Linked DNA regions of Oryzias latipes. The protein of the gene in region 1 purifies or fractionates together with the protein of each later gene. This does not show direct contact. Links are inferred from orthologs where the notes say so. Each region holds a gene or a part of one and is shown on either strand. Other genes may lie near its edges.

The links.
Region 2: the proteins of protein argonaute-4 (region 1) and tnrc6a purify together in Homo sapiens (co-immunoprecipitation; 4 studies listed by BioGRID and IntAct, with this or other methods). This does not show direct contact. The link is inferred for Oryzias latipes from reciprocal best matches to the Homo sapiens genes AGO4 and TNRC6A.

Annotation. Positions count from the first base shown.
Region 1 is NC_019869.2:20,065,026-20,068,636, forward strand, and holds part of protein argonaute-4, read left to right. Parts: intron 1-502; coding exon 503-636; intron 637-718; coding exon 719-903; intron 904-977; coding exon 978-1,137; intron 1,138-1,498; coding exon 1,499-1,670; intron 1,671-1,758; coding exon 1,759-1,902; intron 1,903-1,980; coding exon 1,981-2,115; intron 2,116-2,190; coding exon 2,191-2,292; intron 2,293-2,836; coding exon 2,837-3,036; intron 3,037-3,212; coding exon 3,213-3,321; 3' UTR 3,322-3,611.
Region 2 is NC_019866.2:17,691,418-17,695,250, forward strand, and holds the start of tnrc6a (trinucleotide repeat-containing gene 6A protein), read left to right. Parts: upstream 1-792; 5' UTR 793-1,001; intron 1,002-2,352; exon of another isoform or gene 2,353-2,404; intron 2,405-3,833.

The DNA.
Region 1 (3,611 bases):
AATGTTTTGTTTTTTGGCATTTTGTTTTGAATTGATATCTAAAAAGTCGTTTTCTTTTTCTAGTTTAATTGTCGTTGTCATCTTTTATCAGTTTTTGCGTTAAGTGATTTGTTAATGTGATTTGCACTTCAGTAGTGTTGCTCTAACTAACCGGCAGTTTTTCTCGCTGAATCAACACATCTGTGTTTTTGTTTGTTTTTTTACATTTTTGCTTAAAATAATTTTCTAAACTCCTTTTGTAATTTTATGCTTTCTTCTACTCAAATTGTTCAAACCATTTCAGAATAACCGTTTTAGCTTCTGACGTTTACGCTTCTTTCAGACTCTGAGCTGCAGTTTTCATTTCATTCACGAAACCGAGCTTTCCTCCTCCAAACAAGTCAGCAGTGCTCAGAATAAACTCAGAATGATTCTTTTCTTTATTCTGATTGAAGTTTACTAACATTGCTGAAGGCTCCTCCAGCTGTGGGGTTGACTAAGAGTGCAGGGACTCTCTCCGCAGAATAAAACCGTGGCCACGCCCAATCAAGGCGTGTGGGACATGAGAGGGAAGCAGTTCTATGCTGGAATTGAGATCAAGGTGTGGGCCGTGGCCTGCTTTGCCCCGCAGAAGCAGTGCCGGGAGGACCTGCTCAAGTGAGTAGTCCCTCTGAGCTCTTCAAGTGACGAAGAAGCCCAGGTATGGAGAGGTTTCATCAGACTGATGTTCTCCTTGCAGGAGCTTCACGGACCAGCTGAGGAAGATCTCAAAGGATGCTGGAATGCCCATCCAGGGTCAGCCGTGTTTCTGTAAATATGCCCAGGGAGCTGACAGCGTGGAGCCCATGTTCAAACACCTCAAGATGTCGTACGTGGGTCTCCAGCTGATCGTGGTCATCCTGCCGGGAAAAACCCCTGTCTACGGTACGAGTCAGTCGCCCTGCTCGGGTCCCTCTACCTTCCAGTGATGCTGACCTCTGCGTCCTTTGGATCTGCAGCCGAAGTGAAGCGGGTGGGGGACACCCTCCTTGGCATGGCGACTCAGTGTGTGCAAGTGAAGAATGTGGTGAAGACGTCTCCTCAGACTCTGTCCAACCTCTGCCTGAAGATCAACGCCAAGCTGGGAGGCATCAACAATGTGCTGGTGCCTCATCAGAGGTCAGTTTACTGATACAGGAAGTTCCTACCAACTGCGTTTCTCAGGAAAAAATAATAATGACTTAATCTGCAGCCTGGAGAAGTCTATAGGAATGTGCTTAGGTAGTTGGGTCGTCCATCTTGTTCAGATTTCAGTTAGCTGTATTCCACTGGGTTCATCATTGAGCTCAGTACCTGTGTCATGGTGAAATATTCATTTAGAGAAATCCTCGTTAGCACACGTTAGGAGATGACTTGAAGTTCTTAATGTCCTGGAACATTAAGCCAGTTTGTTTTTAGATCTGAAGTAACAAAAGTAGCCCCAGCATAGACACTTCTACAAATGCAGTTGCCAACATTATCTCTCTTGCGCTCCATTTAGGCCGTCAGTCTTCCAGCAGCCGGTCATCTTCCTCGGTGCCGATGTCACTCATCCTCCTGCCGGGGACGGCAAGAAGCCGTCCATCGCAGCCGTGGTGGGCAGCATGGACGGCCATCCCAGCCGGTACTGTGCGACGGTGCGGGTTCAGACATCTCGGCAGGACATGTCCCAGGTGCCTGTTGGACTGCATGACTTGTGTCAGGGCGAGTGGAAGAGGGGCTGTAGTTTTGGGCAGGGAATGACTGAAATGGTCTCTACAGGAGCAGCTTTTCAGCCAGGAGGTGATCCAGGACCTGACCAACATGGTGCGCGAGCTTCTCATCCAGTTCTACAAGTCCACACGATTCAAGCCCACACGCATCATTTATTATCGCGGCGGCGTTTCCGAGGGACAGATGAAACAGGTGAAGTGCACAGTTGAAGCCGTCCAGAGCGGGACGGGTCCCGAGTCTGGCCGTACTGACGCTCCCGCCGTGTTTCAGGTGGCCTGGCCGGAGCTGATCGCCATAAGGAAGGCGTGCATCAGTTTGGAAGAGGACTACAGGCCTGGCATCACCTACATCGTGGTGCAGAAGCGCCATCACACGCGTCTGTTCTGCTCCGACAAAGCTGAGAGGGTAGGTGGACCCGCCCCCGCCGCGGCACACACTGTACTTCTGTTTAGTCTCACGGGCTTTTGTTTTGCTCTGCAGGTGGGGAAGAGCGGAAATGTTCCAGCCGGCACCACTGTGGACAGCACCATCACGCATCCGTCTGAGTTTGACTTCTACTTGTGCAGCCATGCTGGAATTCAGGTGGGGGGTTAGGGTGCTAACAAAAGCTTTTTTGAGTGGATAAGAGAGTTTAAATGATGCCTTTGCTAAATGTAATTCCTGTTGAAATGACTGTGATTGCTTTGTTGATGTTATTGGTTAACTGTTATCTGAAAAAGCTGTCATTATTTAAAAACTGGGAAAAAAAACATTTAACACTGTCAAATTAGCTTAAAAAACAAAGAAATAACTGTAAGAAGCTTAACTTCATGCTAATAACAACAGAAGTAGTTAATTAAGCTAGCCTAGTGACAACAATATCATGACAAAGCTTAGCACTAAACTTACTACCACCACAAAGCTAGCTTTATGCTCATCTCACCAAAAGTTGCTAAAAAGCTAGACTACTGATCCTAAGATAAATTGCTTTTCTTGCATAAATGTTTAGGAATCTGTTTGAAAGATACTGAAAATAATGAAACTGGTTGAAGTATGTTGAAGATCTGAGTGGACAATTAAGGTGTTGGATATATACAATAATCAGATTTTTTTTTAAAAATAAAATCAAACAATTTCTCATCCTCAGGGAACCAGTCGCCCCTCCCACTACCACGTCCTGTGGGATGATAATTGCTTCACGGCCGACGAGCTGCAGCTCCTCACCTACCAGCTGTGCCACACCTATGTGCGCTGCACGCGCTCAGTCTCCATCCCGGCGCCTGCCTACTACGCCAGGCTGGTTGCTTTTCGCGCTCGCTACCACCTGGTGGACAAAGACCACGACAGGTGAGACTATCGCTCTGTGCGAGAGCACATCAGGTTCCAGAAGAACCACGAGTCTGGGCTATTAGAAGATGTGGAGGCACCATGATGAGTCCAGTTGCATGTGATCAGAAAGCAGAGGAGCCTCTTGAGCGTGAAGTCGGTTCTGACTCGCTGTGTGTCGGCTTCTTTTCTTCCAGCGCCGAGGGGAGCCACGTGTCGGGTCAGAGCAACGGCCGCGACCCGCAGGCTTTGGCAAAGGCGGTTCAGATCCACTACGACACACAGCACACCATGTACTTCGCCTGAGGACCACCCGTCCTCTGATACTCGTCTCTTCCTCGTCTGTCTCTGTCGTCTTTCTGTTCGCTCTCGGTTCGGATCCTTCACCAAAGCGGCTCGCGCGAGGAAGAGGAGCGGGAGGAAGAGTCACGGAACGATCTCCAACCAGCGTTCCCGATCCAGCCGCCTGTTCTCAACCAGCAATCTAGCACTGCGAGTCCCACTCCGTGGGGGTGGGGCTCCAATGCACAAATGAAAAAACAAAAACAAACACCTCCCTCCCTCCGACCCCCCCACAGACACACAGTTGAGCCATT
Region 2 (3,833 bases), on another chromosome or scaffold:
GAGAGAGAGAGAGAGAGAGAGAGAGAGAGAGATAGATAGATAGATAGATAGATAGATAGATAGATAGATAGATAGATAGATAGATAGATAGACAATATATATATATATATATATATATATATATATATATATATATATATATATATATATATATATATATATATATATATATATATATATATATATATATATATATATGTATATGTATATGTATAATTTATTTATTACTATTATTTATTAGTATTTTATTAGTATTTGTATTTATAAGTATTTTTACCTTGTCAATAGTTTTCTAGTTTTGTCCATTTTCAGTTGATTTTACAAATTTATTAAAGGAAAGTTCCTTGTCTTGTTCATCCACAAGTTAAAGTATTTTGCTTTAAATGTGTAATTTCATACACAAAATGTGCATTTATTTGTCACAATTGTCGTACTTGCCATCAAACTTTAACTATGTAGAAATACCAAAGTATGTTTTAGATGGGGAGTGACACACTTTCAAAATTCTATAATTTGAGACAAATTTAAAACGGACAGCATTTCCTATGTGTTTCAAATCTTACATCAAATTTTTTTCTTAAATTTTAATAAATTTATAAATCGTCAAACAATATACTTTTGTTTATGTTTGTCTGATGAAAGCAGAATTTAATGCGACTGAATAGCTTTTCTATAATATATTGTTTTTCTTGTTTGTTTGTTTTTACAGCGTTTTGTCTTCTCAGTCAGAGGAAGTGGTTATGCGTTTCCGCCCCCGCCTCCTTCCCCCCTCTTAGAATCACACACGTACACAGCCTGAGCCAGTGTAAACCTTATTAATGTCTACGGAGTGAACGCAGAGAGGAGGGGAGCGTAGAGCACAAACGAAAGCGGCGAGCCAAGAAAATGGCGATCGTGCAGAGGATGAATGCCCCCACTCGTAGATGCTGCAAACGCATTGCATTTCTTTAGCCTTACTTAGTTTATTTTCCACTCTCTGTTGCACTTTATATTTCAATGAGGTAAGTTTTGTTTTAATTTTTATTTATTTTTTATTTATGTTCTTGTGTTAAGCTATGCAGGCAAGGAGCTGGAGGAAAGACCAGAGGTCGGTAGATAAGTTGACCAGCCGCTGTTGTTTAGTTAGCTATGACGGAGCTAATATTGTTAAGTACTACTATGCTATCCTTTCCTATCCTATCAGGTTGCGTTTAGAAAGGCGGTTTGGTTTTATAGTTTTGCTAAAGATGCAACTCTCGTTTGTTTTTTCCTAAACGCAAATGAAAAATAAAGCCATTTTAAATGTGTTAACAAGGCGGTTTAACCTTGTCCTTTCGCTTAACTATTCTAGATTGGTCGCTGTATGTTTGTAGCTAGGAAAATGCGTATTTTGTTAACTAATTGTCTTAAATGTATTTTTTTTTTACTTTGTCTAGACTATCATTGTTCTCTGTAAACAACTTACCAATATCGCTAAATTAGAGGAAAAATACCTCGTAGTTGCTATTAGCATTAGCTTAGCAACATGCTAATTTGACGACGCAGGTTCGTCGGTGGGAACAGGTAATACTGTGCACAAATTGCATTAAGAACACTGTTTTACTACTATCACTTCGCATATAAATTAAAAATGTCATGAATTAATTTCAAATCTATATTGAAATTAACCTGCGGAGTTGTTAGATAAAAGCCCCCTATGGTATAAAGCGGTACGACAGCAATACCCCTAAACCCCTAATCTGGTCTGGGTTTTTTTGTAGTCAAATCCACATTACTTTTCGTCCTGATCTTACAACACCGAGGTGGACATCAGAGTTTAGATGAATATGCATCGGTGGTAAATTTACTTATCACTCGAGGTTCTTAGATTTGATTGCAAACCTACAGCTGGAGAGAGAAGCCATGTTGGTTAAGCTGCAAGTCGGGCAACAGCTGAGATAATGGCCGTTCAGGACCCGACTTGTAACTTTGACCTACACAGACTCTCACTGTCCCCTGCTGTCACTTTACACGCACTTGGTTTCCCTTCACTTTGACGAGCTGTAAGAAACCTCTGTACCACGTTAAGGCAGTGTAAACGTGCATTTCACCACAGTTCACTTTGAGTGTATGTACTGAACTTGCATAATACTTCATGCTAGTGTCTATGCGTGCAGGATAATTTGGATGTTTGCCCTGAATGTGATTTTAGGAATGTTTCAAAGTTTGCAGGTCATATTACAAGTTAATGCCTCTGGGAACTTGTACTATGGTGTTCACTAGAATCATTTTCTTGCACAATCGGGTACTTTCTGCAGGAAAATGTTCTGGTTACACTTAACTTTATTCATTTATCTTTGGGAATAAACTATTTCCTTTCTCTTTTTGCTAAAGAGATTTGGAATTGGAAACTGTTGCCACCAAAGAAACTAAAGCGTCTTAACGGGTGAGTGAAACTCTTTTAAACCCAGGAAACTGTTGGTGATGCTGAAATGGTTTAATGCAGTTAATGATGATTGGTGACATATATAAACAAATTTATGTTCAAAACTGCATTTCTGACTTTTTCTTGACTAATGGTTAATCAGGAGCAGAGGGGGAAAATGCAGTTTGAAATGGATTGTATTTGTGATGTAGAAAAAACGTTGGCAAGCCATTCTTATGCAACCACTTGTAGACGACCAGATCCATGTCTGTCTTTGTTTTCCTCGTCTGAGCTGGCATCTGGGTCAACTGTACAGCTGGATAGCTTCAAATTTTGCTCGCCATTTTTGTTGCACCGCTAATGTTAGGTTGGGGTTGTAAGGGGCTGTAAACTTGTGGGAAAGCATGTAAACAGATGTATGATGGGAAGTGGGGGCGGACTTACTCCACACAAACAGTCCTGTCCACAACTCGGAGGTGAATTTCTAATGAACTGCTGCTGCTCTCACTGGTGTTTGATTTTGGCTAAAAATCATAATTAAATCATTATCATAATTAAAACATCACTGGATGCTTTTAAAATAGATCCAAAGATGATTTGAGTGGGTCTTTCTTTGGGGTGTTTTGTCACAAATGTTTAATAGGTTTAACCATACCCCATCTGATTTGTTGAATTATCAGTGTAAACCAAAGTGAAAGCAATACATTTTCTGAATCCCAGTATATGATGTCATGGCTGTCTGAGTGATGTTCTGTCAGCGTTGTGAGTTTGGGAAGCCGCTGGGAGGGGCGGGGGCTTGGGATGAGCTGCGCCTGCTTATGCTAGCACATGCAGTTCCGTTTGAATTGAATTGGGGGGTCTGGGTTGGTCAGGTCACATTGTGCTGAATTGTAGCCTTTCCCCCCATTTCTAAATGAGAAGCCAGCGTCCTGATGTGTTGTGCACAGGGAGGTGTTTGTACTGCTCATTGTGTTTAGACAATCATTGCACATGTAAGCACACAATAGGACTATGTCTCATGACTACTTTGTATACTCAAACGGTTCAGTTATGACCACTATTGCTGGTTTCAGTAACCAGTTATTTAGTGTTAGATCTGCTTGGTCAATTCTCTTATCTGGAGTAGGAAAATTACCCGAATTTTTATTTTGTGAAGAAAACAATCCTGTTAAGTCAACTCATGGTGTTTACCAATATACTCTATTATGGTGGTTTGCTTTTATTTTCCTGGAACTTATGTTGCTGCTTAAAATGCACTATATTACCCAAAGTATTCGCTCACCTGCCTTGACTTTCATATGAACTGAAGTGTCATCCCATTCCTAAGCCATATAGTTCAATATGTCTGTCAAAAGAACAAAGGCTAGGGATTGGTACAAGTCAGATAATCTGTGAACCCCTAATAGCTTACCGCAGGATCCGGTGTCAGACAGTGTAAAAAGTGAATAAA